4 linked regions of the Elephas maximus indicus genome follow. The protein of the gene in region 2 purifies or fractionates together with the protein of the main gene of each other region. This does not show direct contact. Links are inferred from orthologs where the notes say so. Each region holds a gene or a part of one and is shown on either strand. Other genes may lie near its edges.

Region 1 (7,813 bases), on a different chromosome or scaffold from region 2:
TTTTACTAGATGCTTATTACAGTGGTTACAACGACTAGAATCTCTATTTTATACTGAAGTTTGTTAGCTATCTACACAATGAATTTCTCAAAGATTACATAAAAACAATCAGATGAGAGCAAACAGTGCCTCAGCACTAAGTTTTGGTTGCCCAAACTTTATCTTTTTACACATTGTAATCTAATCCACAGACAGCCGCCCTTTAGCTGCAACCCAGATTGCCCCTCAGTTCTCAAATTATAAGTGAATTTTAGTTCTTCATAAACTTTCTTCTTGTTATATCCACAAGGCTTCTTTTAGCAATGCAATATTTGTCAGAATAACAATTTGTTTAAACAGAAGTAGCACTATATAATGCATCTAACTCAGATAGCTTCTTTAACTCTCAACTTCCTTAAGGTTTAGGCATACAGTTCTCACATAACCTCTCACTCTTAGTCATATACTGTATTGCATTTGCAATCAGTTTCAATTGGCTGCGTAAATTTTATTCCAAGCTGAAGTATATTTTGTCAGGGCAAATAGGAATAGCATTTTCTATTCTGTTTTTATTATCCTGGAAACACCTATGGACATAGTAGGTGTTTACGAAATGCTTAGCACTTTAAATAGTAAGTGTATACAGTTATCTAAGTAGTTGAATAAAATTACAGAAAATCAATGGTATTAAATAAAATTTGCAGATAAGCTCTTCTACAACCCAAAATTCTGACACCAACCAGAGAAACCACTATGTAGAAGCTCAGCAAATGCAACTCAAAGCACAACCAGAACTTCTTTTCAGCACCATATCCAAGTACATTCTTAGTGAGCAAATTGGAATCAAGAGCTACAAATGCTCTTTCACCTCCTCGTAAAAAACATATGCTCTTATATAAATTAAATCACTAATAAATACCTCTGTTACAGGGTTGGAATGCCAAAATTTCAGCTCTGTAGCAATTATGTTTATTTTGTAAGGAAATGTACTAGAAAATCTTTCTCACATATATATGTTAATATAAATATACCTTTCGTATGTACATTACATATATTTTATATAATGAAGTTGCCACACTGCTGCACAAAAGTCAAAAGCTTTACATCTTCTACACTAATTCTCAAAACCTATCTGCTGCAAAAACGTTCCAATTTAATTGGTGACTAATTAATCACCATTTCTATTACTTAAGCCCTACTATAGTATGTTTCAGAGCCCCGGTAGCCTAGTGGCTAAGAGGTCAGCTGCTAACCAAAAGGTGCGCAGTTCAAATCCACCAGCAACTCCTTGGAAACCGTATCGGGCAGTTCTACTTTGTCCTACAGTGTCGCTATGAGTCTGAATCGACTGGATTGCAAAGGGTTTGGTTTTTTCTATGGTATTTTAGAAACTCTTCTGCCTGGAAAAGGACCTAGTTCACCCAAAACTAAGTCCCTGAACTTGCAGGATAAAATATTAAGTTACAAAAAGGTACTCAAGTAGCTAAATAAAAAAGGAATCTTTTCGTTTACAAAAGAGTAATCTTACATTATGAGGTACAAAATAAAAGAAATTAAAAAGAACGTGCTATGCTTTAAGTACAAGGAGCCTCAACAATGAGCCCATGTCTAAGAAATACTGTAGATAACAATAACTATGTCAACTACAGAATAGGGTAAAAAGGCAATTTAAAAAAAATTTTAATGTTTTACAACGACTTTATCTTTTAACTTCCGAAGGTGTCGATCAGATTTCAAAAAAGAAACTGATTTCTGTAGGGGCTGAACCAGGTTATGCTCTAAGCTACCGCCGGTATGAAATGACTTCGTTGGAATCAGTAGACCAAAGTCAGTTTACTGCGGGAGAGAAAAGAAAAATCTTATATACAACTACTAAGTCTTCTTTTTAAGTCTTCAACGAGATATAACCCAATAAATTCCAGTACAGCGACTGACAGAAGAAATACTGGCTAGTAGCAGAATTAGGTCCTCAAAAACTAAAACCGGGGTTTACCCAGTTCCGAGGTGTAAACAAACCCATCTCAACTGCAGAAGGTAAACAATGAACCTGCAGCTGGCTGAGGGGGCAGTCTTTGCCAACTACTGTCCCAGCGGCCGGGAATGCGAAGCAGGAGGGAAACACAGCTTAGACCAGACACTTAGCAGCAAAGACCAGCTCTAAGTCTCACTATCGAGTTATCAGTGCTGCGGGTCCCCCAGGGCGGTAGGCAAAGAGAAAAGTAGTCACGCAGCCATCAACAACAAGCAGGTCCGGCTTCTGCTCCTGGGGACGGGGAGGGCAGGATGTGGTCTCTCTTCCCTCAAACATCCTCTTGCAACCTAAATAACAGCCTCTATCTCCCTCCGGCCGCCCCCAGGATTCGGCTGCACCAGCTCCAGGATAGGTGTAAAACGTCCCCCGGGGGTCCAGAAAACCAAGAGGGTCGCCAGCCCCGCCGAGTCCCGTTCGGTGCTTCCCCGCAGTTCACCGAGGCCGGGAGGAAGGCTCGGGGTTCGGGAAGCCGGCACTGGGGAGGCGGACGGGTCCGGCGAGGCGGCCCCGGGCTCGGTTCCGGCGGGCCGGCAGGCGGGGCTCGGGCTCTGCCCCCGGCATTCCCGCCGGTCCAGTGCGGGGCCCGTCCCGGTCCCCGGTCCCCAGCCCCCAGCCCCGGCTCCTCCCCAGCAGCGCGTCCTCGCGGGCGCCCGCTGCGCCCCGCGTTACCTCGGGTCAGATCCAGCGGGACGTTCTCCTCGCCGCTGTCATTCCGTCCTGCGTGAAACACACAGACACACAGCCCCAATTAGGATTCGCTCGCAGGCCAGCGGCTGTAGCCGTGGCTCCGTCCGGCGCCCCAGCTCGCTCCCCCCACCCAGGGACAGGGGGAGATAAGTGCCAGGGGTGGTGGTCGCCGGGCGGTGAGGGGTGAAGGCTGCAGCGGGCTTACCTCGTATTCGGAGATTCTTCAGCGAGCGGCCGCGGCCGATCGCCGCCATATTGACGGGTCTCAGTCACAACACCGGAAACCTCGCCCAATCGCGCGAGAACCCCTTCCCCTCCCCGCGCGCCGCGCCCGCCCCCCGCGGCACCTCCTCCGTCCCCTCCTCGGCGGGAGGCTTAGCCCGGGGTGGGGAGGGAGTGCCGCGCGGGCCCAGTGTCTGTGCCGGGGTCACGTTGCCCACCCGGGAAGACGAGGACGCGGCGACGGTCTGCTTCTCCGAGAGTGCGTCTCCCGGGAGGGGGCATTTCCCACGAGGGGAATCCCATTGATGCGAGCTGGCAGCGTGGAGGATGCTTCCCCTGTAGCTTCCGTGGAAACCGTACAGTCAAAACAGGGGCGAGCTGCCTGGAGGAGGCCGGGATGCGGCGGGCGGCCACCTGCTGAAACCATCCTGCCTGATGCTCCAGTTTGCTCTCACGTCCTGGGGTAGACGAGCCCGCTTCCTTATTCTTTCATTAAAACGATTTTTATCAAAAACAACAACAAAAAAAGCCAAACGCTGCGCGTTGTTTTAACCTCACTTAAATCCATACTTAGAGTCGCCTTGCTCCAACCTAAGTTAAGATGTAACAAAGTTTGTTTTCCACCTTCCAACTGACCACCGTGCTAAGCGGCCTTGCACTCGAGCTTCAAAACCACTGTTAGCCGGGAGGGATTCTCCCAGTGGAAGTGTTTGGGTGGAGGTTTTGTTTTTTGACCGCCTGGATACTAGGAGGGAGAAGGGGATCGTCCCAGCAGTGGGATTGTTCTTGGCCGCGCGCGAGCTGGCAGGCGCGAGGAGGTGGGTTCCTACCAGGAGCAAGGAGGGGTGCTGTGACTCTTCTGTGTCGCTCTTAGAACAGTGGCTAATGTAGGTGTTGTGGGTTAATATATTTAATACATAAACCTAACAGTTATTAACAGTCAGGATTTTAATTCTATAAAACTGGCCCCTGACCGCTTAAATTACTCTTAAAACTGAATTCACTTTAAAAGAAAAGGGAAGCGTTTCTCTCTTCTCAGCTGTAAAGGCGTTTTTTCCGCCTATTCCTCAAGTGTTTGTCCTTTGTTTTCCTTGAGACTGGACGTTAATTGAAGGTGGACACCTTAACCAGCTCTTTCCCAGCTCCCAGTTGGTACAGTGCCTCGCACAGATAAGTGTTCAATAAATACCTGTTGAATGAGTAAATGCCCTGGATTCTTTCCTTGTTCCAGTGTCCTTCTTGCTTTTAAAGGCAGTGTTGGAAATTTCTGCCGTTATTTACAATAGTGAAAAATTGGAAACACTTAAAATGACCAAAGGTAGGGAATTGGTTATAGAAATTATGGCAGCCATTATCATGTAAAACTAGTAAGCATGTATTTATAGGAAATAACGTTCCTGATATTAAATCAAGGAAGAAATGACAAAGATGTTCCCATTTTTATCAATGTTTAAAATAATGTAAAGTAAAAATACATTTTATAAAGTATGATGTTATATATGTCTGTGCGTAAGAAAAGTCAAGAGCAGCTATACGCCAAATGTTACTTCATTTTCCTTCCCCCAGTTGTGGAATTACAGATGCGGTTTTTTGTTGTCATTGTTCTTGTTTATTTATCTATACTTTTTAAATGTCCTAAAATTAATATATATTACCTTTAAAATAAATAAAAGTTTTAAAGACAAAAGTAAAAGCAACATAGAGTAGTATCATCATGAAAATAAGACAGAAACACTGCTTCCTGCAGACACTAAATACGCTTCGTGTTTCTATTCCAGGTCCTTCTCTTACCAGGTCTACATTCAGTTTCCGCTGCTTATTTAAGGATGCCATATACTTAGGGAGCCCTGGTAGTGTAGTGGTTAAGTGGTACAGCTGCTAACCAAAGGGTCAGCAGTTCAAATCCACCAGCTGCTCCTTGGAAACTCAATGGGGCAGTTCTACTCTGTCTTACAGGGTCACTGTAAGTCGAAATCGACTCCACAGCAATGGGTTTGGTTTGGTTTTTTTTTTTGGTTTATACAGTTAGAGTGCTCTGAAGAAATGTTCCTGACATTGTGAGTTGTAATTTAGTAACAACTAATGTGCTCCCTCTTTTATAGCTTGGTGCAAACTATTCTGGTTAATGCCTAAGGCAAGAATCACAAAACTTAAGGTTTGGCCAGGACATTAAAAATTTTTGCACTGCATCTTCCGTGTGTCACACATTTCACCATTTTAGGAAAGTAGAGATGTATCTGGAAGGTCTACCAGATTCCTACCACTGTTCCGATTTTTTACCAACCCTTTTTATCTGATTTTTTTTTTTAATATCTAGCAGTTCTACTCTGTCCTATAGGGTCGCTGTGAGTCGGGATCGACTGGAGGACAGTGGGTTTGGGTTTTTTATTCTAAATTAACTCTATTCTAAGAGAGTTTAAATTCATTTTCAGCTTTTTATGCAAATTGAGTACAGCTGATCTACTTTTTTATTAAAGACTTCAGGTATTAAAAAAAAAAAAAAACCCATTGTCATCCAGTCAATGCCAACTCATTGTGACCCTATATTGTATACGAAAGCCTAAACCCAATAGCCTTTCATTTTTTAACTTATGTCATTTTTAAAGATAATTTTTCAATTACTCCATCTCTTCTAACAGGAAAAAAAAAATTACCTTTCTTCAGTCTTACACTGAAAGTAGTTTTTCCTCTGTTACTATCTCAGTCATTTGAGTGGCTAAATTCTCTACTATTTGCTCTTAAGGTAAAGGGCATTTTCTAGTAAAAAGAAAAAGTTCTTAGTGTTTGCAAATGACACCCAACTAGGAAACAAGAGTGTAAGGACATACCTATTTTAGTAGTAGGAAACCCTACAGGGCAGTTCTACCCAGATTCCACTCCAGGGCAACAAGTTACATTTAGAGATGTTGCTTGCTTTTGAAACAATACCACTGTGTTTTTTTTATCCTAGTGAGCTTATTTGCTTAAAACCCCTAAGTTATTTTCTGTGATACTTGCCCATAGGCATTCCTCTATTTCAAACTTTTTTCTCTTACTTGTTTATTTTAGCCCACTGTTTCTCTTACTCAAAGGAGCCCTTGTGGCACAGTGGTTAAGGTGCTCAACTGAGTCGGAATAGACTCCACTGCAATGGGTTTTTTGGTTTTTATGTCTTACTCAAGGAGCCCTGGTGGTACGGTGGTTAAAGTGCTCGGCTACTAACAGAAAAGTTGGTGGTTGGTAACTCACCAGCCTCCCTGGAGAAGAAAGATGCAGCAGTCTGCTTCCACAAAGATTTACAGCCTTGGAAACCCTATGGGGCAGTTCTACTCTATTCTATAGGGTCACTATGGGTTGGAATGACGGCAACTGGTATGGTTTTGGTGTATGTCTTACTCATTTGTTTACTTCATACTACTTCTCCAATTTCCCTGGTCATGTTGATTCTAATCTGGTCATTGAGAATGTTACTTCCTCTTCTTAGTTTTCATTTCCCAACTAGGTTTCGTTTGCAGAGTCAATGAATGTGTTTTCTCATAGTATAAGTCATTGACAAAAAAAAAAAAAGTCATATGAGACTGAGTCTAGGACCACAGCTCTAAAAGATAACTGCTTGATTTCCAAGATACAATGACTCCATTGAAAATCACTTTCTGGGTTCTATTCACTATTCTGTTGGGCACAGTTAATAATTCAAGTTTAAAAAACCGTATATCAATTTCGGATGCAGTCATAACGTTGAACAAAAACAAAAGCCTTGCCAAAATCTTAGTTCCCTTTAATTTATCTGCCTTGTTGCATAGGACATATGAAGACAAAGCAAGTCGAAAACCACAAAATTTGGTCAGTCTATTTCTTGGTAACTTCTTTTCATAGTTAAACCACATGTTTAAGGTTAAGGCCATTAAATTGACAGGCAGTGGACTAAATCAAACAAATGTTATAATCCCTCACAGGGTTGATATGAATGTTCAGCCTTGGTCACAGAAGCAAGTAGCCTCCTAGTATATTTCCTTTAAATTTTAATTTTTGTCCCCAAATCTCATTTTTTTCATGTCGTAAAATTCTGTAAGGTATAAAGGCCCTCTATAAAAACAGTTTTGAATGAAGAATAAGTTTAAATTTGTGGAAGAGGAAAATACATATATATCTACAAAATAAAATCTGGAAGAATAGGAATTAAAAGTTTAATAGTGATTATTAATAGAATTTTGATTTTTTTCTTTCTTATTTTAATTGTTCTAAAATAAATTTGTATCACTTGTGCATATCTTTTTTAGGAAAACTATTCTAGAGAAATTGTGTTGGGAGCCCTGCTGGGACAGTGGTTAAGAGCTCAGCTGCTAACCAAAAAAAGGTTGGCAGTTTGAATCTACCAAGCACTCCTTAGAAACCTATGGGGCAGTTCTACTCTCTCCTATAGGGTTACGATCAGTCAGAATAGACTCGACAGCAGTGGGCTTGATTTGTTTTTTTATTCTAAATCGCAGTTATAAACATTTGACTATAATAATAACTTGTTAAGCAGTGAATCTATCAAATTTGTGTGTCATTAAAAAAAAAAACTGAGCATGCACCCAAACATAGAACATAAAGAGGAAATAAAAAATGGTTAAGATTGTACTTGTCTTGGTTGTTTAGTGCTACTATAACAGAAATACCACAAGTAGATGGCTTTAACAAAAAGAAACTTATTTTCTTACAGCCTAGGAGGCTAGAAGTCCAAATTCAGGGTACCATCTCCAGGGGATGACCTTCTCTCTCTGACAGCTCTGGAGGAAGGTCCTTGTCATCAATCTTCCCCTGGTCTAGGAGCTTCTCAGTGCAGGAACCTCAGGTCCAAAGGACGTGCTCTGTTCCCAGCATTGCTTTCTTGGTGGTATGAGGTCCCCTGCCCCTCTGTTTACTTCTCTA
Region 2 (7,893 bases):
GATCCACACATGCATTAGAAAAACAAACAGCCCTAGGACACCTAGGCAATGAAGGGTACATGCAATGCATTATTCATACTTAACACCCAACCAGCCACACTGGATTATTTGAATCTCTTCATCTTCTCCCACCAAAATAAAACCACCCCCAGAGTCCAGGACTCTAGACTGAAACAATCAACTCAATTAGTCTCCTCTTCTCTATTCCCAGTAAAAAGGATTTTTTTGTGTCTCCTCTTATAACCCTCCAAAACCTCCCCACAAAAATAAAAGGCCTATACTGATACTAAGGAGCCCTGGTGGAGCAAAGCATTAAGCACCTGGCTGCTAACCAAAATGTTGGTGGTTCAACCTATTAGCAGCTCTGAAGGAGAAAAGACCTGGTGATCTGCTCAGATAAGATTACAGCCTAGGAAGCCCTATGGGGCAGTTCTACTCTGTCATATGGGAACACTATGAGTAAGAATCAACTCAATGGCACACAACGACAATACTGCTGCTTCAGCACCCAATACCCTCTGACCTTTTTCTGGTCCATGGGCACTGCTGAAGATATGCAGTCGCCCTAGGGGTTCCAAGTTGCTCCCCACAGATTCACTGGATCTCTCTGTTTCCTCCTCTTCTTCAGCCTCCCAGTCGATAACCTGGGTATCCTCCATAATCTGGAAGGGAACACATTATCATCATCCCCATCATTAGCTCATACACACAGTATTAGAGAGGAGACTGATAACTGGGGGTGAAACTGGATAGTTACGGAGGTTGATGATTTTCTTTCCGTCAATCGTTGTTATTATCCTCCTGAAGCGTTTTTCAAATATCTTTGATGACAGAGAGAGAAATATACAGCCTCTAGTACACAAACATAACAACGATTGTGAGCGTGGCGCAGGACCAGGGTAGTGTTTTGTTCTGTTGTACACAGGGTCGCTATGAGTTGGAACTGACTCAACGGCACCTAACAACACAGATACATGTGAACATATGTACTTCCTTACATAAACAAAAGTTTTGAGAAACAATACTTAACCTTAGTATGCACAATACGCTGATTATCTTTCATCTATTTTTTCTATACCACATATATCTCTTAAACGTTGACTTGCAACCTACTAAGTTGATTTCACTATCCATTATTGGGTCACAACCTATAGTTTGAAAAAGAGAATTTCAAAGGGAATTAACCTTTGCCAAACATCAACTATGTGTTGGGCATTGTGTTATGTGTCAGGCATCATAGCCATATGAGGTACGCATTTATGAAAGTAATGCTAAAAATATTTTTAAAAGTTGCTCAATATAACACAGCAGTAAGTAGAAAGGATAGGAATATATGTAATTCTGGCTGTAACGCCCATGCTTTTTACACTTTATCCTATCACCTCAATGTGATCACACTGAACTGCAAAGAATCATAAAACCAACCATCATGTAAAGATGCTTGCTTTATGCCAGTTACTATTCTAATTACACTAGCTGACTCATTTAACAGAAGAGCCCTGTAAGGTAGGTATTATTGTTATCTCCCATTTTTTCACATAAAGAAACTGTGACACAAAAGAACTTGCCCAAGATCACCCTGATGTCTCTCCTATTTAGTACCCTTTGCTGGCTTCCCATGTTCACAGGATAAAATAAAATCTAACTCCTTAGCAAGACCCTCCACGATCTGAACTTCATGTCCTGCAATGCCTCGCTCCCCCAATTTCACGAGCCTATAATTCAGTCACATGGGCCTTCTAATTAATCTCTGAAAACACAGTCCTCCTTGTCCTGCACACCTGCATGCCTTAGCCCAGCTTGCCTCTGGCCTTTCACTCTGAGTTTCCTGCTCCAACTCCTAATCATCCCTCAAGATTCAGTTCCAATGTCACAGCTTTCCAGTGTTCCTCCTGTATGTTCCGCAGCCTATCCAAACACTTCTCATTATAGTGTAACCATTACTTTCCATTTCTGCCTTCACACGCCCCCTCCAGGGCTGGACCAGCAGAACTGTCTTTTCCCCTAAAGTCCATCATATTCAACAGTAGTTATGGAGCAAAGTTTGCCGTCAAGGTATGTGGGACATATCCGTGAACCAAACATAAAATGAGCCCTGTCTTCATGGAGGTTACATCACTGAGCCTACTGGTAAAAGAACAAATGAAAGAAGAAGCAACTCAAAATAGCATGAGTGGGATTCACTTAGAAGGATGCCACCCTAGAGGGAAACTGGTCAGGTAGGGAAAGTAAGACGACCCCTGGATAGTGTCAACTCCATCCTCATGACCGGCCTGGCCTACGAGTCTTGACTCCAGTACACCAACATCTTCGATCCACAGCCCAAGTAGGTTCCGTTATGATCCAACGTCTCCCTGCGTCTTCATACCTAGAAGTCTGAGCTGGACGTCAGGAACGGATGAACACTGTAATCCCCGAAGCAAATGCCGAATGGTCTCCGCCCAGTCGCTCCCAAGGCACGCCCCTCCCGACCTCCGGGGAAAGGAGAAAATGGCACCCCGGGAAGCCGTGGGGGAGGCCCCCAGAACTCACCTACTTTGAGTCCCCGCGCGCGCCACCAGTAACGGCCGCGACCCGGGAGGCGGGAGTGCGTGTGCAGGAAGAGGACAGGTCCGCTGGTTGGCTCTTGTTGCTGTCCTTTACAGCTCTGCTGCACGCTGATTGGTAAAGTCTCCGCGCGGAGGCTCAGCCCTCCCCCGCCCCACCCCCGCAGTTCAAAAAGGCTGCAAGGAGGCTGAGATCTGTTGAGACTGTAATGGGAGGCTTCCGTGCGCCCGCAGAATAGAGCACCTCGATTGGGTAGCTCGAAGGGACAACCTACTACCGTTTCACCTCCCACCTCCCACTTCCCGCGCAGATTTCCAAACCGCGACCACAGAGTGCGACACCATCTTCTGGCGGCGGATAGAGGGGCTGTACCATAGACGTCGCCCGATGAGTCTGTTGCGGCCAGAGCGCCGTTCCTCCGTCCTCCTAGGCATGGTGTCTGCTGACTCATGAGAAATGGGTCGCGGGTTGCAGTCGTGGCTGCAGGCTGCAGTTTGGAGAACCGTTCGAAGGCGTGGCGCTTGAGGACTCCTCATAACAATGGAATTTCATTTCCTTTTTATTTGGCTTGTTTTATAGAAGTGCTGTCTTTTCCTGGGAATACATTCCTGACGGACATTTTGAGGTCATTTTCCTAAATCTCCCTAGGCAAACAGAGAGGACTGTTATGTATATGTTAAATGTATTTTAAAGGATGACCGAGGTCTGTCCGCAGCTTTCAAAGGGTGGGGGGAAGATAATAAAATCATTTTATTTCATTACCTCAAACTAAGACATGAAAAGAACAGTAACAATTTGACCTATGTATTATTATTATTTTTTATTATTATTTAGGCAGTCCTCTCTCATTTGTTACCTCAGTTAATTTTGACTACAACAATCAAATAGGCAGAAGTCAATTTTACAGACGAGGGAACTAAAGCTCTGTAGTTAAATGTCTTGCGTAAGTTCCTACAGCTAATGTAAAAAAAAAAAATGTTAGACGGAGTCAAATTGAAACAAGTTCTCTTAATTCCATGTTCTGAGCTCTCTCTACTGCCACAAACTTGTTTTCATTGTGATCATGCCCTAAAACATAGAATATCCTTTAAAAAAAAAAAATTCCACCTCAAGTGAGTAGATGGACATGAAAGGGTCTTACACAACTTGATGCTCCTTTATTTAGAAAGCGTCTGAGAAATGTGTGTTAAATTGAACGTGAATTAACAATGATGACCTTGCTATCATCTCTTATATTATGCTGCTTACCACGCTATTGTTATTACTTGTTTATTTGTTTCATCTAACTGCAAGGTCCTTGGGGTCAGGGAGCCAGTTCCTAATCATTTTTGTATCCCTAGTTCCTTGGTTTGGTGGACACTTAGTATCCATCAAATGAATGAATCTCCAGAAGGAGCATGCCACTCTGACCCACCCAATTTTCTCACACCGCTATTCACCTACCTCCCTTTTTATTTTTCAATTTTGGGACTCTAGATCAATGTGAACTGCATTAGGCACCTAACCCCACAGTTCCCTGTTAAACAAAAAGACCAAGGTGTCTTCAACAGTGCTTCAGGGCCCAGATCCTCTACATGGACCAAGACTTCTGACTTCACAGGTCCCAGATATCAGCTTCCCTAATCAATGAACTTATTCTTTGAACACACACTCCAGACAACTACATCTCTATTCTGAAAAGTCCTTGCTGCAATTTTGTTTCTCTTTTGAAATATCATTCGGAAACTCCCAAATAAATAGCAAGAGGGCAATCCCCTCCTGTTTCCAGAGGTATGTAGAGGAACCGTGGCTTACTGGAGTTCAAGCCTAGGTCATCAAAGGACCAGAAGATAGTAGCAAAGCAGGGTGCCGCACTTCTCCCCCGTTTTCGCTGAGGTAAGCAGCCCAATCTTCCTAAGAGCTACGGCAGCGGGGAGCTTTTCAGGGCGTGCCCAGCCCACCTCCCAATGCCTGGCACCCCAGACTTCCCAATTCTTGCATCTCCCAAAACTACTCCCCTCTGTACACACAAAAAAAGAGGAACAGAGGAAAGGGATCTTGTGCAAGGTCATAGTTTTTCATTAAAAAACAAAACACCAAAAAAAACCAGTACCCACCCTTTCGTCACCTCATTTTGCAGCGTGGACAACAATAGAGGACTACAACTCCCAGAGAGGACCGCGCGCGTCCCACTCTCGCGAAGACCAATGGGTGTCTGGTACATGACAGGCATCGACTAATCAGGGACAGACTTGATGAGGCTTTGTCTCCCGACCGCGGCGCGGGACCCAATCTCCCGCCCCCCAGCCCCCGCGCACGCGCGCCCCGCCCTGCCGCCTTCCCTCCCTCACCCTCCCCCTTCCTTCTTTCTCCCTCTCAGAACCTTCCTGCCGCCGCGTTCGGACCTCGCTGCTCCAGACTCCGGGGCACGTTCCATCCCCGCAGCCTGCGATCTGCAGAGCCAAAAATTATATATCGTTCTCTTGCCCCGCACACAACCGAGGCGAGCAGAAAAAAAAAAAAAAACTAAAATAAATTTTCATCATGAGGGAAATCGTGCACATCCAGGCTGGTCAGTGTGGCAACCAGATCGGTGCCAAGGTAAGGATTCTAAAACCTCTTAATATTTCTTTCAAGAAGAAAAATTCAGATCAGTTATGAAGGATGGTTGTGGATATTCGCGCTCTCCATCCGTAATCGAGCTTTGCAAAAATAAAAAGTGTGTGTATATACGCAGACACATTTGTAGCTAGAATTGCCTTTTGGAAAATGGGGAATTTGGTAAGTTTTCTCATTTTGGGTAAGCTGTTGACGGTTTGGGGGGCGGGAAGACGGAGGATCTGTAAGATTTTACTTAGGAGGGATCTTATAACGGTCCGAGGACGGGGGAGGGAAGAGACTAGCAAAGGGCTCGAGACAAAGCGAGGCGAGGTCGGCCCCATGTGCCTCCCGCCCAACCCCCCCGTGACTCGGGTTAGGACGAGACTGGAGGGGGAAGGGGCGAGGCTGGGCGGGCAGCTGCAGAGGGCAAGCCAAAGGTGGGGGGCGCGGTGCGCCAGAGTGGGCTGCTGCCCGTCCTGCACGAAAGATCAGGGACCTCGGCGCGCCCGCGGTCCCCGAGGGGCGGCTCCGTAGTTTTGCGTGGATGGAACGATAAAATGTATAGGGTCAATTTTACTTCCTTTTATTTCCTCTTTATGAGACCCTTTTAGGGCGTGAACAGATAGGAGACAGAAGGCGCGAGAAAAGGGGGAATAGGCTCGCTAAAAGGTCCTCTCGGGATAGTTGGAGGAAAAGAAAAAGAATCCTTTAAGGCAGGAAGGAAAAAAAACTATCGAAGGAATAAAATTCCAAAGCCGGGGGGGAGGGGGATTTTACTTTTTTTTTTTTGCGCGGGTTACAGTGTAGCGGGGGAGGGGACGGGGAGGAAGTGCGCTTGCTACGTTGTAGCAGCAGGGCGGGGCCCGGCGGGGGCGGGGCCCTGGCGCGCGGGGACAATGCGGCTCTGCCCGCCGGCGGGGGCGCTCGAGCCCGGCCCCGCCCCCCGCGCGGAATTCGCGCCCTCGGCTCCGCCCCTCCCACGCGCGACACCGCCCTTTGTCAGCTCCACGCGCGCGTGCGCGCGCCGCAGTCACGTGGAGCAGGGGGAGCGACTGCGGCAGCGGCGCGCTTCTTGGTCCCCGGTCCTTTGTGCATGGAGGGGCGGTGCCCGGGGGGGCGGGAGGGGAGCTTATCCGGTCAGCTCTGCCTCCCCACCCACTCGCCTCAGTGCCCATGAACGCCAGGCTCTCTCAGCAGCATATCGTCTCAAGTCCCAAGGAGTGGAGTTGAGTAAAGTATATAAATTGAGGTTCCTGAGGATGCGGGTGTTTAGGGAAAGGGCGTGGCAGGCGGAGAGAAGGGGTGCCAGGCTTTGAAACAGAGCCTACATGGTGCGCCTGGAATAAAATGGAAGGGGATGCATAGTTGGCTGGAACCCGAGCCAGCCAGGGGCTCATTGCTCTCCTTCGGCAGTTTTGGGAGGTGATCAGCGATGAACATGGCATCGACCCCACCGGCACCTACCATGGGGACAGCGACCTACAGCTGGACCGGATCTCCGTGTACTACAATGAAGCCACAGGTGAGGGCGTGTGCCCGCGAGGATCGGGTCCCATCTCCTCGCCCACTTCTCGGGGGGGGTTTCTTTCAATCTCTGGGGAATACCTTGTTCCTTTTGCATGAGTCCATCATCCTTTCCCTTTGGAAATGTTCCTCAATTTGGTTTCTTCCAACTTCTGGGGCCAAAGCCCAGCTCTGCTGCCACCTGCTTGCAGCGCCTGGAATCACAAGTCTGGGTCCCAGGCTCCCTCAACCCAATGCATTAGTTTTCCCTTCCAGTCAGTCGCTCTTACTCTTTTTCCTGTAGGTGGCAAATATGTTCCTCGTGCTATCTTGGTGGATTTAGAACCTGGGACCATGGACTCTGTTCGCTCAGGTCCTTTTGGTCAGATCTTCAGACCAGACAACTTTGTTTTTGGTAAGTTATACAGAAGAGATCAGTAGATGTAGTCTTATTTAGTTTGAGTATAAGGGGATAAACGAGAGTTAGAAGATGATGGTTTTACTGGAGAACTTACAGAAGGCTCTGATAGAAAGTGTAGGTAACAATTGTCTTAGCTGGTAGGTTCTAGAGGAGGATATATCACAGGCGAGGGTGGAGTAAAGATATCTCCAAGGGGGTTATTCCAAAAGTTGAAAGGTAGAAGTGTGCTCATGTACCTTCACACCTTCCTAATCAAGCTTGATTCCTTGACCCCATTCCAGGTCAGTCTGGGGCAGGCAACAACTGGGCCAAAGGCCACTATACAGAGGGGGCCGAGCTGGTCGACTCTGTCTTGGATGTGGTGCGGAAGGAGGCTGAGAGTTGTGACTGCCTGCAGGGCTTCCAACTGACCCACTCACTTGGCGGAGGCACAGGCTCTGGGATGGGCACCTTGCTCATCAGTAAGATCCGTGAAGAGTATCCTGACCGCATCATGAATACCTTCAGTGTGGTGCCCTCACCCAAAGTATCCGACACTGTGGTTGAGCCCTACAATGCCACCCTCTCTGTCCACCAGTTGGTAGAGAACACTGACGAGACCTATTGCATTGATAATGAGGCCCTTTACGATATCTGCTTCCGCACTCTCAAGCTGACCACGCCAACCTATGGAGACCTGAACCATCTTGTCTCAGCCACCATGAGCGGTGTCACCACCTGCCTCCGCTTCCCTGGCCAGCTCAATGCTGACCTCCGCAAGCTGGCAGTCAACATGGTGCCTTTCCCACGTCTCCACTTCTTCATGCCTGGCTTTGCCCCACTAACCAGCCGTGGCAGCCAGC
Region 3 (7,876 bases), on a different chromosome or scaffold from region 2:
CAGATAAGAGGACAAAGTCCCCACCCTTGGGCAGCTCACAATTGAGCAAGGAGACAGCTGAAAAAGTGCAAACCAGTGAGAAACTTAAGATGCTGGTGAGCTTCAGAAACCCAATGATGAGGCTCTGAGAAGGTCACCTTCTGTGAGAAGGTGTCTTGAGGTGAGGCCCGAACTACAAGGAGTCAGTTTTCTGAAAGACTGGGGAAGGGCATTCCAGGCAGAGGGAACAGCAGGAGCAAATAACTGGGGGCACCTACCCTTTCTTCGTTGTTTCTGGAATGTACCAAACCCTTTACTGCTGAATGAGTGTGCAAAGGAATGGTGAGTTCCCCAAGTGGGAGAGACAACCTTCCTCTTTCCTTCCAACACTTACGGGGACTTGTAGCTCTGTGTGGTGTGTGTGTGGTGTGTGTGTGTGTGTGCGTGTGTGTGTGTGTGGAGGGACACAGGCCCTGGGCTCAGCCTCTTATTGCTCACCTTACCTGGGGCAAGTGACTCAAGCCATGAAATGGGGTGATGAGAGGACCTGCCCTGAAACCCAGCCACGGCCCCTGATAACTGGCAGCTGATATTTCTCCCCTCTCCCTGCATCATCCATGATTCCTTCCACACGGGATCATTCCCATCAGCTGACAACCTCACTGTTGTTACTCCCCGCTTAGAAAAAGCAAACAAAACCTTCTCTTGTTCCCTCTCCTTTCTCCAGCTAGCTGTTTATTTCCTTCCCTTTACAGCAAAGCTCCTCGAAACGCTGCCTCCATCACTCTCCCCAATCTGCCCTCTTGCTCTTTCTAGAGCCCACTTCCATCAGGCTTCTGCTCCCTCTGCCTCCCTAAAATTGCTCTTGCCATGGTCAGTCCCCAGAGACCTCCACTGTGCTCTCCAATGGCTGGTCGGTGCTTGGTTCCCATCTTCCAGCTCTACCAGCAGCACCTGACAGACCTGCCTGTCTCTCACTCCCTGACCCATGCTGCCCTTGCTCTGAGACATGTCCTCGCTGGGGCCTCCTCATATCTCCTGGCTGCTCCTCCTCATCACCCTGATCTCTTGATTGGACGGAGTACACTTCACTCTCTTCTCTGTCACACTCACCCTCTAGGTGAGCTCATCCAGGATCCTGACTGCAAATACCATCTTTATGCTGTTGACTCCCAAATTGATGCCTCTCGCCCAGCTGCTCCCCTGGTCACCTGTCCCAAAACCCAGCTGCCTCCCTGACATTCCTGGGATGTCTCAGAGGCATCTCACATGGCCAAGTGAGCTCTCAGCTTCCATCCCTGTCCCGACCTGCTCTGCCCTGGTCTTCTCTGTCAGCTAGGCTCCTCATTCTTCTAATTGCTCAGGCCAGAAAGCCAAGAGTCAGGCTTGACTTTGCTTTCTCACACCGTTGGCCAATCCAGGAGCAATTCCTGCCTGCTCTCTCATTACCTTCCTACTTCATCACTATGATGATTCCACTCTGATCCAAGCCACCATCCTATCTCGTTCTCATTATCGTGATTGACCCCTAACTGGTCTCCCCCTTCTGCCCTTAACCCATGTCCTCTATTTGCAACACAGAAGCCAAAGTCAGACCACTCTTCTCCTCTGTACAAGACCCTGCCTGGACTGTCTTCCCCAGACACCTCTGACCTAATCTTCTAGTGCTCTCTTCCCTGCTCATTCTCTCCAGTCACACTGCCCTTGAACGCACCAGCTGAGTTCCTTTTGGGCCCTTTGCACTTGCCCTTGTCTTTGCCTTGACTAGTCTTCTCCAGGTAATTACACAGTTCACCCCTCACTTTACTCACCCGTCATCTCCAGGAGCCTTTCTTGGCTCACCCTATTTTAACGGCATTCTTCTCTCCCCACAAAAAATATTTTATTTGTTTTATCATCTTTCTCCCCTCAGGCATTCTATAACATTCAAGAGGACAGAACTTTGTTTTGCTGTTTTACCTAGCAAACATGGCACACAGGAGGCGCTCCATAAATACGTATTTCTTGAATGAGTGAATTCTCTGCGCCTTTCTCCGGGATCTTTAAAATGAACACGGCGGGCATATTTTTAAATTATTTGCGCGCATAAGCGACTTCTCTGCTGGCCCAACTAGTGGGTCTCAGATGCCCCACGTGGCCCGGCACAGTGTAAAACTCCCACTGCTGTCCAGTGGATTCCGACTCATAGTAACCCTATAGGAAAGGCGCGAAGTGCCCCATAGGGTTTCCAGGGAGCGGCTGGTGGATTCGAACTGCCAACCTTTTTGGTTAACGACGGAACTCTTTACCACTGCGCCACACAGAGTAGGGTGAATGAATGCAGGGACCCTGGGGCTAACAAGTCCTCAGCTTCGGGGACACCGAGGGGCCGCGGGGTGTCACACACAGTCTAGCCCGCAAGCAAACCGCCCAGCGGAACCAACCCTCGCCCCCCGGGAGCAGAGGGCGGGGCCGCGTCCCCGGGATTCCGAGTTTGGGGGCGGGGCCGGGGCCGGCACCCTCGGACAGGGGGGAAGAGGTCAGAGCCGGGAGGACAGCGGTCCCACGCTCGTGCCAGGCCTCCGGACGGTGACGTCTGAGTCACCTCCGGGCCCTATCGCCCCGCTACGCTTGGGACGCCTGGTCCCTCCGCTGCGCCTTTAGGCCCACACCTTTGGCCTCTGGACTGGAGTCCCCCCTCCCCGAGCCGATGGTACGGCCTCCTCTCGGCCCCAGCCCGAGCGATTGGTAGGGCCCACGTGCGTGACGCACAATGGGCAGTTGGTACGAGCTGGCCGGCCGCGCACCCCGCGCCCGGTAGGGGGCGTCTGTCACTGCCCCCCGGCTGGGACCCCACTACCCTAGCGGCTCCGCCGTCCGGGAGGATACAGCATGAGCAGTCGCAGCTCCCGCTCTTTCTCCTTCATTTTCTTCAGAATGGTCAGAAGCCCCATGATCCCAGCAGCCCCCTCCCGGCCGCCGTTTCTTCCTAGTCCTGGGATCCCCGCTCCTTGCTCCTATTGGCTATCACGCCCAGCGACAGCACAGCCCATTGGCCAGCCCTTTTTGGGCCCGCCCTTGCCCCACGTGACCTCAGAGCGGCCGCGCTGTGTCTCTGCTGGGGTCCCTCTAGCGGCGGCGCGGCTTCTGCGCGGCCACCTGCCTTAACCCTTCGCGTCCCGAGGGCCGACAGTTGGGGGCGAGGGCGAGTCTATTCCGTCCTCCCAGGACCCAAAAACTCGGCCGGGAACGGAAACCTGAAGTTCATGGGTTGGATCTTGGCCAGGTAGGGAGTACCTGCAAAAAGGTGTGGCCAGCCGGGGACCCAGGAGTCAGAAGCGAGAGCCTCATGACCTGGGGCTGTCCTGGAGGCTGTGTAAGGGCCTGTTACCCGGAAACGTGGTCCAGATCCCGCTCTTTTGGGGCCTTGGTGTCATCCTAAATTTGCCAATGACGGAACAGGAATTGGGCCTCCCCCTTGCCAGGCTCCTGAATGCCGGTATTGGTCCCTAGGGACCGTTGGAAATGTGCGGGGTGGGGTGGGGTTGCGTGTTTTGGGTTGATTCAGCGACGGAGGGAAGATTCCCCCACGTTTAGACGGTGGGAAGCAGGGATAGTAGGTAGTGTCCTGCAATGCTGGGGACAGACCCTCACAAGAATTGTCCCGCCTGAGCCCATGGTTTCCCTTTGAAGAAAAACAATCTCACGTTTGCTGATGACAAAAATGAGGCCCACCAAAAACTCGCTGCTGTCCAGTCGATTCTGACTCATAACGACCTTATAGGGCGGTAGAACTGCCCCATAGGGTTTCCAAGGAGTGCCTCGTGGATTCTTGGAACTGCTGACCTTTTTTAGTTAGCAGCGGTAGCACTTAAACATTAACCACTACACAACCAGGGTTTTCTTGAGGCCCACAGTGACTGGCAAATAGTAGATGCTCAATAAATAGTTGCTGTTGAATGAGTGACTTTGTCCAACAGTTTGGTTCTTTCCCTTAGTTTAGTACCCAAGAGATCCAGAAAAACTGAGGAAACTGAGGCCAGGAAGCAAGCAGATTGTAAGCTCAGAAGGGTGAGTCTCGTGTGTTATTTTGAGCCCTTCCACAAGTTCACTATAGGGTAAGTGTGAGTAGACAGCACAAAGGAACCAAACAGTTGATGGGGAGTTAATGCTGATTCCTGGTGACCCCTTGTGTGTCAGAGTAGAACTGTGCTGTATAGGGTGTTCAATGACTGGCTTTTTGCAATAGAGTGCCAGGCCTTTTTTCTGAGGCACTTCTGGGTGGACTTGGAACTTTCAACCTTTCCATTAGGTGCTGAACATTTTAATCATTTGTACCATCCAGGGACTTCTAGCAGAGTTCTTGTTAGGTGCCCTTGAGTCGGTTCCAAGTCATAGAGACCCTATGCATAACAGAAGGATACACTGCCTGGTCCTGCACCATCCTCAGAATTTTTGTCATGCTTGAGGCCATTGTTGCAGTCACTGTGTCAGTCCATTTTGTTGAGGGTCTTTCTCTTTTTCGCTGACCCTCTACTTTACCAAACATGATGGCCTCCTCCAAGGACTGATCCCCCCGATAATATGTCTAAAGTATGTGAGACGAAGTCTCCCTGTCCTTGCTTCTAAGGAGCATTCTGGCTGTACTTCTTCCAAGACAGATTTGTTTCTTCTTTTGGCAGTCCGTAGTATAGTCAATATTTTCACCAAGCCATAACTCAAAGGCATCAATTCTTCAGTCTTCCTTGTTCATTGTCCAGCTTTCACATGCATATGAGGCGATCGAAAACACTATGGCTTAGTCTTCAAGGGAGGATCTTCGGTTTTAAATACTTTAAGGAGGTCTTTCGCAGTAGATTTGCCCGATGCAATGCGTCCTTTGATTTCTTCACTGCTGCGTCCGTGGGTGTTGATTGTGGATCCAAGTAAAATGAAATCCTTGACAACTTAATCTTTTCTCCATTTATTATGATGTTACTTATTGATCCAGTTGTGAGGATTTTTGTTTTCTTTATGTTGAGGGACAATCCATACTGAAGGGTGTGGTCTTTGATATTCATCAGTAAGTGCTTCAAATCCTCTTCACTTTCAGCAATCAAGGTTGTGTCATCTGCATAACGCAGGTTGTTAATGAGCCTTCCTCCAATCCTGATGCCGTATTCTTCTTCATATAGTCCAGCTTCTGGGGTTATTTGCTCAGCATACAGATTGAATAAGTATGGTGAAAGGATACAACCCTAACCTATACCTTTCCTGACTTTAAACCACATAATATCTCTTTGTTCTATTCCAACAACTGCCTCTTGGTCTTTGTACAGGTTCCTCATGAGCACGATTAAGTGTTCTGGAATTCCCATTCTTCATAATGTTATCCATAATTTGTTATGATCCACACAGTTGAATGCTTTTGCATAGTCAGTAAAACACAGGTAAACATCTTTCTGGTGTTCTCTACTTTCCTCCAGGTTCTATATGACATCAGCAATGATATCCCTATTTCCATGTCGTCTTCTGAATCTGGCTTGAATTTCTCGCAGTTCTCTGTCAATATACTGCTGCAACCGCTTTTGAATGATCTTCAGCAATATTTTACCTGTATGTGATATTAATGATATTGTTGGATAATTTCTGCGTTCTGTTGAATTACGTTTTTTTGGAATAGGCATAAATATGGCTCTCCTCCAGTTGGTTGGTGTCGTGAGTTGAATTGTGCCCCCCAAAAGTATCTGTCAACTTGGCTAGACCGTGATTCCCTTGTATAATTGTATGATTGTTTACCGTTTTATCATCTGATGTGATTTCCGTATGTGTTGTAAATCCTATCACTCTGATGTAATAAGACGGATTAGCAGCAGTTATATTGATGAGACCTACAAGATTAGACAGTGTCTTAAGCCAATCTCTTTTGAGTTATAGAAGAGAGAAGTAAGCAGAGAGACATGGGAACTTCATACCACCAAGAAAGCAGAGTGCGTCCTTTGGATCTGAGGTTCCTGTGCTGAGATGCTCCCAGACCAAGGGAAGACTGATGATAAGGACCTTCCTCCAGAGCCTACAGAGAGAGAAAGCCTTCCCCTGGAGCTGACGCCCTGAATTCAGACTTCTAGCCTGCTGAACTGTGAGAGGATAAACTTCTGTTTGTTAAAGCCATCCACTTGTGGTATTTCTGTTATAGGAGCACTAGATGACTAAGACAGTTGGCCAGGTAGCTGTGTTCCAAATTTCTTGGCATAAACAAGTGACTACTTTCTAACACTGCACCCCTTTGTTGAAACATCTCAGTCGGTATTCCGTCAGTTCCTGGAGCCTTGTTTTTCGCCAGTGCTTCCAGCGCAGCTTGGGCTTCTTCCTTTAGTACCATCGGTTCTTGATCATATGCTTTCTCCTGAAATGGTCAAATATCGACCAATTCTTTTCGGTACAGTGACTCTGTGTATTCCTTCCATCTTCTTTTGATGCTTCCTGCGTCAATCAGTATTTTTGTTCGTTGAATCTTTTGATATTGCAACTCGAGGCTTGAATTTTTTTTTTCAGTTCTTTTAGCTTAAGAAATGCTGAACGTGTTCTTCCTTTTTGGTTTTCTAGCTCCACATCTTTGCACGTGTCATTATAGTACTTTGTCTTTTTGAGCTGCCCTTTGAAATCTTCTGGTCAGCTCTTTTCTTTCATCATTTCTTCTATTCAGCATTCAAGAGCAAGTTTCTTCTGACATCCATTTTGGTTTTTTCTTTTCCTGTCCTTTTAATGGCCTCTTTGATGTCATTACACAACTTGTGTGGTCTTTGGTCATTAGTGTTCAATGCATCAGGTCTGTTCTTGAGATGATCTTTAAATTTAGGTGGGGTATTCTCGAGGTTCTACTTTGGCTCTTGTGGAGTTGTTGTAATTTTCTTCAACTTCAACTTGAACTTGCATGTGAGCAATTAATGGCCTGTTCCACTGTTGGCCCCTGGCCTTGTTCTGACTGATAATATTGAGCTTTTCCATTGTCTCTTTCCACAGATGTAGTCAGTTTGATTCCTGTGTTTTCCATCTGGCAAGATCCCCATGTATAGTCGCTGGTTATGTTGTTGAAAAAAGGCATTTACGATGAAAAATTTGTCGGTCTTGCAAAATTCTGTCATGTGATCTCTGGAATCATTTCTATCACCAAGGCTGTATTTTCCAACTACTGATGCTTCTTTGTTTCCAACTTGCACATTACAACCACCAGTAATTATCAATACATCCTGATTGCATGTTTGATCAATCTGAGACTGCAGAAGTTGGTAAAAAATCTTCAATTTCTTTGTCTTTGGCCTTAGTGGTTGGTGTGTAAATTTGAATAGTAGTGTTAACTTGTCTTCCTTTTAGGCATATGGATATTATCCTATCATTGACAGCGTTGTACTTCAGGATAGATCTTGAAATGTTCTTTTTGACGATGAATGCAACCTCTTTCCTATTCAACTTACCATTCCCAGCATAGTAGACCATATGACTGTCCAATTCCAAATGGCCAATACCAGTCCATTTCAGCTCACTAATACCTAGCATATCGATCTTTATACATTCCATTTCATTTTTGATGATTTCCAATTTTCCTAGATTCATGGTTCGTACACCCCATGTTCCAATTATTAATGGATGTTTGCAGCCGTTTCTTCTCATTTTGAGTCGTGCCACATCAGCAAATGAAGGTCCTGAAAGCTTGACTCCATTTACATCATTCAGGTTGACTCTACTTTGAGGCAGCAGGTCTTCCCCAGTCATCTTTTGAGTGCCTTCAAACCTGAGGGGCTCGTCTTCCAGCACTATATCAGACAATGTTCCGCTGCTATTCATAAGGTTTTCACTGGCTATTTTTTCTTTTCCAGAAGTAGACCACCAGATCGTTCTTCCTAGCCTGTCTTAGTCTAGAAGCTCAGCTGAAAGCTGA
Region 4 (7,014 bases), on a different chromosome or scaffold from region 2:
TGGTGAATAAGCACTAGCTGGGAGAAGAGGAGACAGAAAGGAATCTCTGGAGAAAGGATCAGCCAGAGTAAAGACCTGAGGCGAGAGGGTACCTGGCATGTTTGAGGAACAGCAAGGGGACCAATACAGGTGAAGTGAAGTGAATGAGGGACAGGATGGTGGCTGATGAAGTTACAAAGATGATGTGGGGCCAGTCATGTGGAACCTTAGAGGCCAGGATGAAGAATTTGGACTTTACCTTGAGGGCAACGGTCCACCTTTGAAGAATTTTTTTTTAAGCTGTTGTGTGGAAAACAGATTGTAGGGATGAGGGCAAAAGCAGCGGAACCAGTGAGGAGGCCTCTGCAATAGTCTAGGTGTATTCAGTATCTGATCTCTCCACACCACCTCTACTGACTGTGGCAGCAGTAGAGGTGGTGTGGAGAGATCAGATACTGAATATGTATATTTTGAACATAGAGCCAATAAGGATTTACTGATGGATTACAACAAGGGTGAAAGTAGAGTCTGTGGGAAGTGTAATTCTTCATTTTCACCATAAATGTCCTTGCCCCAGTGAAGCCATCCAGGAACCCTGAATGCTAGCTTAGGGTCCTCTATTAAATACCCTTCAATCCCCTGGTCTTAAGTCCTCCTTCATTAAACAATTCATACTGCCATTGGCTGTTTAATGATCAGCTCTCCTACTCTCCTTTCAGCTCTCTGAGAGAGGACCTTGTCTATCTTGTCCACATTTGTATCACCAACTCCTAGCATACTACTACCAGTTACCAGTTGCCATTGAGTCAATTCCAATTCATGGCAATTTCATGTGTGTCAAAGCAGAACTATGCTTCATAGGGTTTTCAATGGCTGATTTTTTGAAGTAGATCACCAGGCCTTTCTTCCAGGGCACCTCTGGGTAGACTCAAACCTCCAACCTGTAGTTAACAGCTGAACTTAACTGTTTACATCACCCAAGGATTCCTCCTGGCACACAACTGTTTACATCACCCAAGGATTCCTCCTGGCACACAGTAGGTGCTAAAAGGAACCCTTTTAACTCTAAGCCCCACCTCCCCAAATCATCTGCTTCCAGTTTCCAGGCTGCCCTAAGAAAGAATTCCTTCTTGCTAATGTGTTTTTGGGGACTGCTTAGAGGACTCAGCCTCACCTGTCATCCCAGAGGCAGTGGAATTCATTTAGCTGCTCTTCGAACACCAAGCCTGTGCCAGACAGTGCCTTGGGCTCCAGGTTCAGATCCTGCAGGGAAAAAATGGGAGACACAGATCCAATTAGAGCCTGAGTCAGAGGGAACATTCCATACTGTCCAGGATGGGAAACCTCAGGGTCTTGGGTTGCCATTGGAGGCTAAATCCAGGCCAGGCCCCTCTCACCAGCTCTTGCAGCCCCATGATTAGGTCTTGCTCTGCTGCTTGGCTGAGCTTCTTCATTCTGCCTTTCTTCTTTACCTCTGCTAGACTAGGGCTGGAGCGGGGTACAGCACCCTTTTTAACACCACGCTTCTGTCAAGCAGAAAGAAGGGTCAGAGTCCAGGGGACAATCCACGGCTCTCCCTCCCCGGGGCCGGTCTGGGGCCTCACCGAGATGACGCTGGAGTTATGGGAGGGTGAGTGGGGGTTGTGTCTACTCCTTCGCTGTCTGTTTGTGGTGGAATCTTGGCCGGTGGAGGTCATGGTAGGAGAGACTGAGCCCCTGACACGGTCCTGGGGGAGTAGACGTGACTGTCTGTAAGGGACGGTGTGCCCAGAGGACCCAATATCCTTCCCCTTGCCGGCCCGCCTCCTATACTATTCTCCATCCCTTATGCTAGCCTATTCCCCACTGCCTTCTAAAACTCCACTTCTCCCAAGACCCTCTCCCTCCACTGGGGTGTCCCTTTCACCTTTCCACTAAATTCTACCCCTTTTACACAATTCTCTTTTCCTCTTTCAAATACTTGCCCTTTCACTGAGCCATTAATTCCCGACTCAGTCCTTTCTAGGGCCTGCCCTTCCCAGCTAATCCCCGCCCTTCCACTCTACCTAGCCCCCCATTCCCAGACCCTTTCATTCTTCTAAGCCTCGTCCTGGTTGTGGAACTCTGATGGTGTAGCGGTTAAGAGCTCGGCTGCTAACCAAAAGGTCAGCAGTTTCAATCCACCAGCCGCTCCTTTGAAGCACTATGGGGCAGTTCTATCCTGCCCTACAGGATCGCTATGATTCGGAATCGGCTCGACAGTACCTAACAACAAGCCTCACCCAGACCCCACCCCTTCACAAATCTTCCTTTTACGGCGATCTCCAGGGAAAATCGCCCACGCTTTCACTCAGCCAAACCCAGCCACTGCCCCATCCCAAGCTTAACGATTCACCTACCCTCGCCCCTAACGTTTCAATAAGTCCCGCCCCTGAGAGGACTACTTTCCTTCCTCCAGACCCTATCCCCTGCCCTAGGCCCTACACTTAACGCCACACCAACCCCCTCTAGCCAGTCCTGAGCCGCCTCCCGCTAGCTTCCGCCCCCTTCTCGCTCCCCACATTGACGCAGACCAACCGCTTCGGTTCCACTCACTGGGCGCGGCCCCCTCTCAAACCCCGCCCATTGCTCTCGCTAGCAAATTCTGGCGACTTGTGGGACGGCGGGTTCCCAGGCTCCTCCTTTCCATTGGGGCGGTTCTCTCTGCCTGCTGAGATCCCGCCCACACCAGCTTCCTCAGTGCCCCCCAAGACCACGCCCATCGCGCTGGCCACACCTTCCGCAAGCTCACAAAACCGGCGCGGAGGCAGGAGAAACTGTCTATGCTGCGCCTGCGTGAAGTAGCACTAGCGGTTCAATACAAGGCTAAGGCTGTCCCGTCCCCCGGCTACTGCTTGCCTGCCTTGGCCACCAACCCTCTGCCCCTGCCCAGTCACCTCAGGAACCCTCTGGATCCGCGACGATTGTGCCTTGCAAAGATTCAAGAGAGCGCAGGGAAGGGAGGGAGTTAGGCAACGGCGTTTTCCCACTTTCCCGCTGCTTCCGGCGCGGCGCTCCGTGATGACGTAGCTTGGGCGGGCTGGCTGCTGGGCCCGAAGTGGGGCCCAGAGTGGGGTTGAAACTGAAGGACGGTTTGGTAGCGGCCAAAGTGCGAATGATGATGATCATAAATACTGTGGGGATTCTATGAGTTGATATTCACTAAGGTCGCACACATTAAGCACACACCAAATGTTAAAAAAGCTATTAAAATTCTGGGAAAATGGGTGGTGGCGCAGGGGGAGGCGTAGTGGGACAAGTAATTGTAAGGCTAAAAGCAAAAAACCAAACGCGTTGCTGTCTAGTCGATTCAGACTTAGCGACCCTATACGACAATAGAACTGCCCTATAGGGTCTCCGAGTTCGATTCAAACTACCCACCTTTTGGTTAGCAGCCAAGTTGTTTAACCACTGCACCACCGGGTTTCCAATTGTAACGCTAGCAAGTACTGTACACCAGGCATTGTTAGCCACAACTCTATGAGGTACTTCCCATTATTAATGCTGCTTTGCAGATAAGGAAACTGAGGTTACATGACTTGGCCATGTGACCTTGGGCAAGTTACTGAACATCTCTGTGCTTCAGTTTCCTCATATGGAAAATTGTGATAATAATATTGCCCGAGGCTAGAATGGAGTCGGAGTTTTTCATGGTTGGCTGGTCTCCCTATCTGCCTCCCTCCACCGGGTAAACTGCACTCAAGCTGTAATACAAAGCCTGTGTGCCTAGAGAGTAGGGGGAGTTGTTCCTATGGCCCGCTCTCCCTCCCACCCCTGTCTAAATATCAGCTCTGCAGGAGGTCGGTTTGTCCTCCTAATCTCCCTCTCATTCTCCACCATTTCCTACCGGGCTGCAGGCTGGGGCCAGAGAGATAAGCGGTCTGGGGTTCAGCAGCGCTGACTAACAAATAGATTGACAGCCCCACCGCCCAGTAGGTGGGCCTTCTGACCCTCTTGAAGACCCCCCCCCCACTTCCAGCCTCTTCATGCCTTTCATTCTTTTCCATCTGAACATGCCTTTTGTACCAGTGGAAGAGAGTCATAGACTTAAGACCTTTAAACCTCAAAGAAAATACACATACAATGATACACACTGGGAAACATTCTGGGGTTGTTATGCTTGCAAAATAAAAGTGTAGGGAGTCTGGAATGGGTCAAGGCCCAATTTTTTGTAGTCAGGAGAGAGGTTCCTATAGAGCAGAGGTTGGCAAACTCTAGTAAAGGCCAGATTTTAGGCTTTTGAAGACCACATAAGGTCTCTATGGCATATTTTTATTTTTTTTAACAACCCTTTGAAAGGGTAAAAACAGGCTACAAGCTGGCCTTGCCTGCAATCTATAGTTTGCCAATCCCTGCTTAGAGTATCAGTCCTTGGTTTTCCTTACCTGGCTGGGATTCTTCTATAGGATGAGGGCAGGGGTTCCCTGTGGCCTGAAGAGAGGTATTCCTTTTCTGTTAGGTTTGAGGACAGGGGTTCATTTACAAGGCCAGGTCACTTCTGGTGTTCCTCTACTGGGTCAAGCAAACCTTCCTGGACAGGGAAGGCCCAGAGGTTCCTATAGTTTTAGTAGTGGTGTTCCTCTCCTGGATCAAGCAGGAGATTCTATGCAATATGAGACAGACATTCCTAGGGAGCTCTAGACTAGGGGTTCCTGTACAAGTTCAGGATGGGGCTTCTTAGACTGCATTATGACAGGTTTCTACAAAGAGATCAGGGGGTCCAGTACAGGGTTAGAAGAGGTGTTTCTGTACAGGTTCAGAGCTTGTGTTCATATAGACAGTAAGATTAGGTGTTCATGTCCAGATTCAGGTCAAGAAATTGCTATTAATTTGGATAAATTATGCTAGCTACTGTAACAAACCCAAAATCTCAGAGGCCTTAACAAATAAATGTTTATTTCTTGCTCACACAAAATCCAATCTGCATATTTACTACAGGTCCTTCATGGGCCAAGGAAACTTCCATTTAGTGGCTTTATTTTCCTTTACCTCCTCGGAGTTCTTGCTATTCAGCTGGTAAATGGAGCAAGAGAGAGAGTGGAGGATTACCGGAGAGGATTTTATGGGCCAGGCCTGGAAGTGGTGCGTAACACTTCTGCTTACACTCTCTTGGCCAGAACTCTATCATATGTCCACATCTAACTGCAAGGGAGGTTGGAAAAGATAGAATGAGCTCAGGGATAATGAACAGGTTTTGATGAGCCCATAGCAGTGTCTGCTACAGAATTCTATAGACTCCATAGAGCTATGCTGTCCAGTGTTAGCCACTAGCTACATGTGGCTACTGAGCACTTGAAATGTGCCTAGTCCAAATTGAGATGTGCTGTAAATGTAAACTACACACTGGATTTTGAAAACTTAGTATGAAAAAAATTTTAAATATCTTATTTTTCTGTATTGATTACATGTTGAAATGTTAATGTTTGGATGTATTTAAAGTAAATATATAATTAAATTTCATTTCACCTTTTCTTTTTACTTTTTTAACGTGGCTACATGAAAATTTTAAATTACACATGTGACTTGCATTATATTTCTGTTGGACAGAGTGTTGCTGTAGAGAATTCTCTTTAAAGTATTGGGACAGGGATTCTTTTTTTTCAATTGTACTTTAGATGAAGGTTTACAGAACAAACTAGCTTCTCATTAAACAGTTAGTACGCATATTGTTTTGGGACATTGGTTACCAACCCCACTACATGTCAACACTCTTCCTTCTTGACCTTGGGTTCCCTATTACCAGCTTGCCTGTTCCCTCCTGCCTTCCAGTCCTTTACCCTTGGCTGGTGTGCCCCTTTAGTCTCGTTTTGCTTTATGGGCTGGAACAGAGATTCTTGTACTATGTAGGGGTAGGGGTTTCTGTACAGGATCAAGTTAGTGTTTCCTGTCTGGGGTCAGGAAAATAACTCTGTTACATGGTAATGCAGGTTTGTAGGAAAATATGGGGTTGGAGACATCATAAAGTGAGAGAGAAGGGTGTAAAAGCAGTTTTGCCTATACAGGTTAAGGTTAGGTTGTCATTTAGAGGCCAGGAGAGTGGTTTTCTGTAGACAGTTAGGCCAGATGATCACAACATACTCAGGACAGGTATTTCTGTACGGGATCAGAGCTAGGTTCCTAGAGGGTTAGGTCGGGGATTCTTGTACAGCTTCAGGACAGGTGTTCACGGTGATTCGGATAACAAGTTGTTTAACAAGGTCTGAACAGAGGTTCCTATACAGGGTAGGTGTTTTTGTGCTGCTTTATTTCTTAGATTCCTGTCTTAGTTATGTGCTATGACAGAAATACCACACGTGGATGGCTTTAACAAACAGAAATTTATTCTCTCGTATTCTAGTAGGCTAGAAGTCCGAATTCAGGGCGCCGGCTCCTGGGGAAGGCTTTCTCTCTCTGTTGGTTCTGAGGGAAGGTCCTTGTCATCAATCTTCCCCTTGTCTGGGAGCTTCTCAGAGCAGGGACCCTGGGTCCAAATGACACGCTCCGCTCCTGGCGCTTCTTTCTTGGTGACATGATGTCCCTCTCCTCTCTGCTGCTTCTCTTTTTTATATCTCAAGAGATTGACTCAAGATACAACCTAATCCTGCAGAGTGAGGTCTCCCTCATTAACATAACTGCCATTAATCCCACCTCATTAACAGCCTAGAAGTAGGATTTACAACGCATAAGAAAATCACATCAGATGACAAAATGGTGGACAACAGGGGTTCATATACAAGGCGAGGGCTGGTATTTCTGTCCAGGATCAGGGTAGGCTTCCTGTTGATAATTAAACAAAACAAAAAACAGTTGCTGTTGAGTCAACTCTGACTCATGGCAATCCCATGTGTGTCAGAGTAGAACTGTGCTTGATAGGATTTTCAATGGCTGGTTTTTCAGAAGTAGATCTCCAGGCCTTTCTTCGGAGGTGCCTTTGGGTGAACGTGAGCATATTAACCATTTGCATCACCTAAGGTTCTTTTGACATTTCAGAGCTGGGTTCCTATAGCAGGCTAGGACAGCTGTCCTTATACAGGGTGA

Evidence for each region.
Region 1: the proteins of TUBB (region 2) and RICTOR purify together in Homo sapiens (affinity purification with mass spectrometry; 3 studies listed by BioGRID and IntAct, with this or other methods). This does not show direct contact. The link is inferred for Elephas maximus indicus from reciprocal best matches to the Homo sapiens genes TUBB and RICTOR.
Region 3: the proteins of TUBB (region 2) and ARL2 purify together in Homo sapiens (co-immunoprecipitation; 3 studies listed by BioGRID and IntAct, counting the BioPlex papers as one, with this or other methods). This does not show direct contact. The link is inferred for Elephas maximus indicus from reciprocal best matches to the Homo sapiens genes TUBB and ARL2.
Region 4: the proteins of TUBB (region 2) and HDAC6 purify together in Homo sapiens (affinity purification with mass spectrometry; 4 studies listed by BioGRID, with this or other methods). This does not show direct contact. The link is inferred for Elephas maximus indicus from reciprocal best matches to the Homo sapiens genes TUBB and HDAC6.

The regions. Positions count from the first base shown.
Region 1 is NC_064820.1:44,835,966-44,843,778, forward strand, and holds the start of RICTOR (rapamycin-insensitive companion of mTOR), read right to left. Parts: upstream 3,013-7,813; 5' UTR 2,953-3,012; coding exon 2,904-2,952; intron 2,729-2,903; coding exon 2,681-2,728; intron 1-2,680. UniProt on the Homo sapiens protein: Component of the mechanistic target of rapamycin complex 2 (mTORC2), which transduces signals from growth factors to pathways involved in proliferation, cytoskeletal organization, lipogenesis and anabolic output.
Region 2 is NC_064819.1:91,028,888-91,036,780, forward strand, and holds the start of TUBB (tubulin beta chain), read left to right. Parts: upstream 1-4,889; 5' UTR 4,890-5,070; coding exon 5,071-5,127; intron 5,128-6,540; coding exon 6,541-6,649; intron 6,650-6,934; coding exon 6,935-7,045; intron 7,046-7,332; coding exon 7,333-7,893. UniProt on the Homo sapiens protein: Tubulin is the major constituent of microtubules, a cylinder consisting of laterally associated linear protofilaments composed of alpha- and beta-tubulin heterodimers.
Region 3 is NC_064825.1:128,183,954-128,191,829, reverse strand, and holds the start of ARL2 (ADP-ribosylation factor-like protein 2), read right to left. Parts: upstream 3,003-7,876; 5' UTR 2,913-3,002; coding exon 2,848-2,912; intron 1-2,847. Other genes in the region: BATF2 (basic leucine zipper transcriptional factor ATF-like 2), read left to right, coding at 3,225-3,244, 3,957-4,029. UniProt on the Homo sapiens protein: Small GTP-binding protein which cycles between an inactive GDP-bound and an active GTP-bound form, and the rate of cycling is regulated by guanine nucleotide exchange factors (GEF) and GTPase-activating proteins (GAP).
Region 4 is NC_064846.1:122,834,881-122,841,894, forward strand, and holds the start of HDAC6 (histone deacetylase 6), read right to left. Parts: upstream 3,005-7,014; 5' UTR 2,895-3,004; intron 2,631-2,894; exon of another isoform or gene 2,536-2,630; intron 2,461-2,535; exon of another isoform or gene 2,358-2,460; intron 2,306-2,357; exon of another isoform or gene 2,241-2,305; intron 2,189-2,240; exon of another isoform or gene 2,045-2,188; intron 1,707-2,044; 5' UTR 1,677-1,706; coding exon 1,584-1,676; intron 1,506-1,583; coding exon 1,377-1,505; intron 1,243-1,376; coding exon 1,154-1,242; intron 1-1,153.